Linked DNA regions of Saccharomyces cerevisiae S288C. Changing the gene in region 1 together with any one later gene gives a genetic interaction. Each region holds a gene or a part of one and is shown in the gene's direction. Other genes may lie near its edges.

Evidence for each region. A genetic interaction does not mean that the proteins touch.
Region 2: mutations in MNN2 (region 1) and BIG1 together harm fitness more than expected from each alone (negative genetic interaction), as found in Saccharomyces cerevisiae (3 studies listed by BioGRID).

The regions. Positions count from the first base shown.
Region 1 is NC_001134.8:267,006-271,290, reverse strand, and holds MNN2 (alpha-1,2-mannosyltransferase MNN2), read left to right. Parts: upstream 1-1,787; coding exon 1,788-3,581; downstream 3,582-4,285. Other genes in the region: KAP104 (Kap104p), read left to right, coding at 1-344; cysteine-rich palmitoylated domain-containing protein CPP1, read right to left, coding at 658-1,044; glutathione-disulfide reductase GRX7, read left to right, coding at 3,955-4,285. UniProt on the Saccharomyces cerevisiae protein: Alpha-1,2-mannosyltransferase, responsible for addition of the first alpha-1,2-linked mannose to form the branches on the mannan backbone of oligosaccharides.
Region 2 is NC_001140.6:314,276-318,129, reverse strand, and holds BIG1 (Big1p), read left to right. Parts: upstream 1-2,161; coding exon 2,162-2,271; intron 2,272-2,358; coding exon 2,359-3,256; downstream 3,257-3,854. Other genes in the region: putative serine/threonine protein kinase KIC1, read right to left, coding at 1-1,558; GEP4 (phosphatidylglycerophosphatase), read left to right, coding at 3,457-3,854. UniProt on the Saccharomyces cerevisiae protein: Required for normal beta-1,6-glucan synthesis.

The DNA.
Region 1 (4,285 bases):
CCATCGGAAAAATGGGGCTAACACACCCTGAAGTTTTCAGTTCTGGCGCATTTGCCAATGATTCCAACTGGAATAAATGGTGTTTGTCCGTTAACGCATTGGACGATGTAGAGGAAAAGAGTAGCGCGTACATGGGTTTCCTGAAAATTATCAATTTGACCAGCACGGAGGTCACAATGAGTAATGATACCATTCATAAAATTGTTACGGGCCTTTCAAGCAATGTAGAGGCGAATGTTTTTGCGCAAGAGATCTACACCTTTTTGATGAACCATTCTGCCCAAATTTCTGCAATAAATTTCACGCCCGATGAAATCTCCTTCTTACAACAGTTCACCAGCTAAAATTTTTTTTACTGTATCCTACGTGTTTGTATAGTTTGGTACATTATTACTAGTGATATATACATAGCACAATTCGGAAAAAAAAAAAAGGTGCATAACTGCAAATGGATCACATAGAAATGAAAATAGTTATAAAAGTTACATATAATTAATAGACGTATTACATACATGCTTAAAGTGACATGTTAAAGTTTTTTTTTTTATCTCCTTGTGAAAAAAAATAACACTGAGGGGAAGAAAGGCAACTGCAAAGAACAGAAGGGGAGATTATTCTTTTTTTTTTTTTCATTCTTGAATACTTTTGCGGGTTCTCTTAGAATAGCATATCCATGGTGCAGCATATACATAATGCAGCCAGACATGCAGCCAGACAACCTTCGTTACCCCTCTGGGGTGGTTGTTGTTGGACGTAGACTGGTTGTTGATGGCCTTGTTGGTTATATCCCTGCTGGTTATATCCCTGCTGATTGTAGCCCTGCTGATTGTACCCTTGCTGATTGTACCCTTGCTGATTGTATCCTTGTTGGTTATAGTATCCGGGATGCTGCTGCTGCTGCTGGTAGTACTGCTGCTGTTGTTGGGGTGGGTATCCACGCTCCTGAGTTTTGTTCTGATGAGCGGATGAAGGTGGCGGGTTGGAGGGACGGGAATATTGGCTCTTCTCGCCGGCGGTTCCGCCGTAGTAATCGTTAGCAGACATGGTGGTTGTGTGTAGGACTATCTTAAGCTTACTAGTGAGTCTCTTCAATGCTTGTCTTGAGAAGAGAAAGAGCCAGAGGGGGATTTTGGAAAAAGCCAAATTGACATACTTTTATAGCTTCGGCCGCAGCAGAATGGCTGAAGAGTAAGAGGGCGCAGAGCGGCTGAGCGAACCCGTCGGGCGCGACCAGCCGATAGTAGCACAGTAGAATTTTAGAAGCATTCGTTATCAGGCCGATGTGTGCAATTATTGTAGGTCTGCAGTAACGTAGCTCTACTTTTTCGCAGTCCCGTAGTTTTAAAACTTTTAGTTAATCAGGTGTGAGGTGGAATGAGCGATGGCACTATGTCGGGCAAGGCAGCTTAGCGCACAAGTTAAGCTGGTGCGCTCAGAAGTTGGAGGGTTCGCTAAATAGGTTATGCAAACATGCAAGTCAAGTGAGTCGCCATTGGCTCGCTTGGTGATTAGGTGACTCTAATACATCGTCCAGGACCCGTTATTACCGTTCACGTGCTAAAAAAGGATCGCGTCCTTTTGCGGAGGGATGAAAAAGATAGTGAAAAAATAACAATGAAGAAAAAAAAAATATAGAAGAATCATCAAAATAAATTACGTGTACTTGGTGTTGCTTATACGTTAAAAGCAGAATTGCCCTACTTTTTAATATCCTCGTGCTGCTCAAGGTATCATATCTACTTCGAGACAAATCAGTGTAGGTAGGTCAGTAAAATTATATTTTCAGTATGCTGCTTACCAAAAGGTTTTCAAAGCTGTTCAAGCTGACGTTCATAGTTTTGATATTGTGCGGGCTGTTCGTCATTACAAACAAATACATGGATGAGAACACGTCGGTCAAGGAGTACAAGGAGTACTTAGACAGATATGTCCAGAGTTACTCCAATAAGTATTCATCTTCCTCAGACGCCGCCAGCGCTGACGATTCAACCCCATTGAGGGACAATGATGAGGCAGGCAATGAAAAGTTGAAAAGCTTCTACAACAACGTTTTCAACTTTCTAATGGTTGATTCGCCCAAGGGGAGTACTGCAAAGCAGTATAACGAGGCATGCTTATTAAAGGGTGACATTGGAGACCGTCCCGACCACTACAAAGATCTTTACAAGTTGTCTGCTAAGGAGCTGTCCAAGTGTTTGGAACTATCTCCGGATGAAGTAGCAAGTCTGACCAAAAGCCATAAGGACTACGTAGAGCATATAGCGACTCTCGTCTCGCCAAAGGGTACGTACAAAGGGTCCGGTATAGCCACAGTGGGTGGCGGGAAGTTCTCCCTTATGGCATTTTTGATCATTAAGACTTTAAGGAATATGGGGACCACGTTACCTGTGGAAGTCCTGATCCCTCCTGGTGATGAAGGTGAAACTGAGTTTTGTAACAAGATTCTGCCTAAGTATAACTCCAAGTGTATTTACGTTTCAGATATTCTACCACGAGAGACGATTGAAAAATTTGTTTTCAAAGGATACCAGTTTAAATCATTGGCCCTTATCGCTTCTAGTTTTGAAAACCTGCTCTTACTGGATGCTGACAACTTCCCCATCAAACCCCTAGACAACATATTCAATGAAGAACCATATGTGTCTACGGGCTTGGTCATGTGGCCCGATTTCTGGAGGCGTACAACTCACCCATTGTATTACGACATTGCAGGTATTGCTGTGGACAAGAAAAAGAGAGTTCGCAATTCTCGAGACGATATCACCCCACCTGCTGTTTACACAAAGGATTTGAAGGATTTGAGTGACGTCCCGCTAAGTGACCTAGACGGAACAATACCCGACGTGTCTACGGAATCCGGCCAACTGATGATAAACAAAACGAAGCATTTGGCTACGGCTCTTCTATCTTTATTCTACAACGTCAATGGACCAACGTGGTACTACCCAATATTTTCTCAAAAAGCTGCTGGTGAAGGTGATAAGGAAACTTTCATTGCCGCTGCAAACTTTTATGGTCTATCATTTTACCAAGTTAGAACAAGGACAGGCGTTGAAGGCTACCATGATGAAGACGGGTTTCATGGTGTAGCAATGTTACAACACGACTTTGTGCAGGATTATGGCCGTTACTTAAATGCTATGGAGAGCATTGGCAACAAATACGGTGGCACTAAATCAGCTGATGCAATCAAGTTTGACAAAAACTATTCCCTCGAAAAATACACCGAAGAATTTTTCGACAACGAGGACTTAAATGCCAAGAATCATGTAGATGTTATGTTCATCCATTCAAACTTCCCAAAGTTTGACCCATACGATTTATCTAAAAGCAATTTTTTGACTACGAATGGTAAACCTGCTCGTTCATATACGGCCTTAAAAAAGGTAAAAAATTACGATATTGAACTAGAGAATTTCAAGGTTTTAAACGAATATGTTTGTGTTAATAAGAATCCTTTCAAATATCTCGATGACCTTTTAGGGCAGGATAAAACGGAATGGAAAAGAGTGTGTGGTTACATCACCGATAGATTAGCATTTTTAGAATCTACTCATGATAAGGCGATTGCCGGTAAATAATATGCAACGGGTCGGACTATAGTTTGGACAACTTCCATTGGCGTTTTCTACATTCTTATTACTATTCCTTACATAGTTATGTTTATTTATCTTCCAGTTATGTAAATTTTTTCCTTCACAATCCATATAAAATGACTTTACTACAGATGTATAAATATGCAGTCCCGGGTGTATTTGAGAATCGAGACTACGTCATACCGGTAAGTGGGACTGCGTTTTGAAAAAAAATAAAGAAGTACTTTCGGCAGGATATTTGCCAATGTGTACATATCCCCTCAGTGAAAAAGCTCGAATCAAATAAAAGAAAAAACCTATATATTGGAAAGAAGCAAAATTTTCAAATTAAACGCAAAACAACTGAAGAAAATTAGAGATGGCTATTGTTATAAACAAAAGAAACGTGAGAGTCTTGGTAATAACTAATTTACTGCTCATTGTTGTGTTTTTTGTGTTAAGGAATTCGAATGCTAGCGTCAACGAAAGTATTACTACTCACCATCCTGATTCATTGGTGACGTTTGACAATTCAGGAAATGCACCTGGCACTCACCAATCTGTCCATGATACAGTAAATACACAAGATAAGGAAGCCGAAGAAGTTGATAAAAATAGTGGGGACGCTGAATTTGATGCCGCTGCAGAATACAACAAAATAATGGAACAGTCACCCATGATTGTATTTAGCAAGACTGGCTGCCCATATA
Region 2 (3,854 bases), on another chromosome or scaffold:
GTGAACTATTACCAGCATTTAGAGATGAAATGGATTTGCTTATTTTAGGAGCTTCTGTATTGACATCATTTTCAGCAGTAATAATTTCATTGTCTTCAAAAAGTTCAAGTAATTGTTTTGGAGCCTTACTTTCCAGCCTCTTAGATGATGTCATTGGACCGGCCGTATGTGTTCCAGAGGTGTTTGTAGTTCCAGCTACCATTTTGGAAGGGTATTTTGAGTTCGTATAGTTATTTGTTACTGGTGCATTCAAAGTAGAATTTTGAGCTATTGTACCAGGATAGCCCTTTCCTATCGTTGTCCCTTGATAAACAAAGGGTCTAGTATTATGACTTGTAGGGTCAAAGTAATAAGAATCTTCGTCAGGGTATGCATAGTTGAACAGGTCATGTTGGGCAGTAGCCCACTCGTTGTTGTCCTCAGCCAAAGCATCGAGGTTGATATTATTTTCAATAATATAATCCGACGAACTCAATGAATCAAAATCCCATTTCATTTCCACATCGCCTTCGTTCACTCTCTTAATTTCATTATCATTTGATGCTATTGACTTTTGTGCTTCATCACCCCCGCCATTTTGTGATGGTTTTGGAGCTTCACTGGGTTTTGATGGCTCATTTTCCGGTATACTGCCCTCTATTTTATATTTGTTTTTATTCTTGTCCCTAAATAGTAGATATCGTGATATTAGTTCTTTCAAAATGGACGTTGGCGTCGCCTTGTGGGCCCTGATAAATTTTGATTTTAAAAGATCGTCTGCTGACAATCTCTCCTTTGGATCCTCATCAAGACAAAGCGCAATAAATTCTTTCAAAGATGTACTGTATGATCTGTCCTCAAGCCTCGGTGGTTTCGATTTGATGATTAGTTGCATTGCCCTTAGGGCCTCCACATCGCAGTATGGCGGATTTCCGGTGGCAATCTCGTACGTTGTAATACCTAAAGACCATATATCTACTTTAGTGTCGTAATAAACGCCTTCCATGATCACTTCTGGAGCCATCCAGTAGGGGGTCCCAGCCATAGTTTGACGTCGTAAAGAAGTTTGGTTTACTTGTGCAGCGACACCAAAATCGCATAGTTTAACATTACCTTCGTTAGTGATCAGAACGTTTGCTGCTTTGATATCTCGATGAATGACGTTATCTTTATGAATGCATTTTAATGCTACAAGCAGTTCTCTCATAATAACCCCAATGTACTTTTCATCGATTTTGCCTGGCCTTAACAACGAACGCAGTGAACCACCAGCGCAGTGTTCCATTATGATCCAAAGGCTTGTGTCTTTCAAATACGACCCATAATACCGCGTGATATTGGAAATCTGTTTCAAGGAGGCCAAAAACTGAATTTCTCGCTGCACATCCTCCACCTCGTCAGAATCAGAATCTAAATTTAAGACTTTGATAGCATACACTCGTCCAGTCTTCACGTTATAGCCCTTATAAACCACACCAAATTTCCCTCGCCCAATAACTTCCGTTCTCTTGAAAAGTGAACTCACATCCATCTCTCCTTCGGCTAAACCCTGCTTACTATTTTGTGGCTTCGTCGTCATTACTGCCTGTTCTCTATACGTGTTTTGCTTGCCAGTCGATGGCGCCCAAATTTATACTTTTTGTTTCTTTATCTGTGTACTGTTAAAAGTAGTACTGTTAAAAGTAGTAAGCTCCTTAGAAAGCGGTTCCGCCTAATAGTTCCTAACTTGTTGTATGTGGCTTCACGTAGGACGAGTTGCCTCTGTTCTTCTTTGACTTTTGCCACGTCGGCAAGCTGCTGCTCTTGTTGATGCCTTTAAAGATTGTCAGATCGGCCTGAGATCGACGTGTGGCATGATAATGTTGCTCGATGGGCTGTAAATAGATAAGAAAGAGTGAAACGAATAGAGTAACGAGGCCACAGATGTGGCGAAACCTGGGAGGATATGTTCTAACGTTATCTAGAGTTCTGATAGAGCATTGTATGCGATAGTACCGCTGACATATGTGCATTCTTTAATTATATCGATGATATCATGCAACACGGGTTAGCTCTGTAGTAATGTAAACCTCTCTTAACTACGGCCAAGAATATCAGCAGCGGAGGTTAAGTTGCAGGTTATACCTATCTGTTTTGTAGTTAGGAAACGTAGGCGCATACTAATTAGGAGTAGCAAGGCAAGATGCAAACTGTGTTGAAATATTTGTTGCTTATTATGTGTGGAAGCTTTTGTGCTTCGGAGGAATTGCAAAACCAGACCAATGTTCCTGCAATATTCTTCTCTTACAAACTGTATGTAGAACAAGAAACATTAATCTTTAGTAACTTTCATTTTTCTTACTAACTAGATGTTATACACATATTTGTACTTTTGGATAGAACTCCCGGTATTTTAAAGTATCAAGAGGATTATGATAGGGCTGTGACTTTACCAAGAGACACCTTTATTGAAGCGGCTGAGAAATTCTTAGGTGTATGTAATGCTGACACTTATGTGTTTATTAATCAACCAGGCCTGAGGAAATTGGACTTCTTGGAATTTGAAACAGAGTTTGTTTCGTTACAGAGATATATAAGACGGAGTTCAACCGCGATTAAGTTCGAAAAGGTAGACCTATTGCCTCAAGATTTATACTATGATCTTGCAGAGTTTGTAAAGGAGTATTGTAACGTAGACCAGGTGTTGAACTTACGAGGTAATAATACAGAAGATTTCCAGCCCTTTATTGATAGCGAAAAAAGAGTGATTATAATAGAGTACCCTAAGTTACCAGAGGACACTAATGAACGTAAAGAAGCATTCCGCCATTATGACAAGTATTTGAGGACTATACTGGCGCAGATTCCGTCGCCAGAACAAAATGTCATTTACACCTCGTTAAACCCAGGAACTACGCTGGCTCACGAGTCGATCATCCCTATCCAAATATTTCCAGATATCTTTGACATAAAATCCAGAGTGGGTGAAGTGGAACAAAATAATAGAGTTTTGGATGTGCCTCGTCTGTCGTTTAATGACTATACTCCACGATTTTCAGAGCCACCTTCGGAGTATGTCTCAATATTTGATTCACAATTAATTGAGAATAACAGAGGTTTATTACAGCTGATTTTCACAATTTTGGTTGGGTATATTCTTATTCAGTTTTTTTTCACAAAAAAAACTATTGTAGATGAGAAGATTACTAATAAAAAGGACAACGTGAAACAGACGTCACCACAACTGCTCAAAAAAGTGCAAGAGATCCAGAAAAAGCCATCCCAGCAAGTATCTTGATTATGGTTCGTTATATACATCGATTCTTTGCAAAATTATCCATGAGAGACTTCGCGCCATGCTACAATTTACCAATGCGCATCGAGAAATTTATGCTATCGCATTTAATATGATATAATTATCCGTCTGTTTATATATATATATATATGGGGCCAAACTGAAAGGCGGCAGTTACATTACATCGTCTCCTCTACCTAGTCATGAACATCAGTGGCACCTTAAATACGCTCCGGTTGCTTTATAACCCATCACTGTGTAAGCCTAGTCTAGTTGTCCCCACTTTTAACGATCTTCCTATACCAATCCACGATTCTATAAAGGCCGTGGTCTTGGATAAGGACAACTGCATCGCCTTCCCTCATGATGACAAAATATGGCCAGATTACTTGCAACACTGGGAAACCTTAAGGTCGAAATACTCTAACAAAGCACTCTTGATTGTTAGCAATACCGCCGGTTCCAATTCTGATAAGGACTATTCGCAAGCAAAACTTTTGGAAGATAAGACAGGTATACCTGTTTTGCGGCACTCTACAAAGAAACCAGGTTGTCACAACGAAATATTAGATTATTTTTATAGAAACAAAACCATAACAAA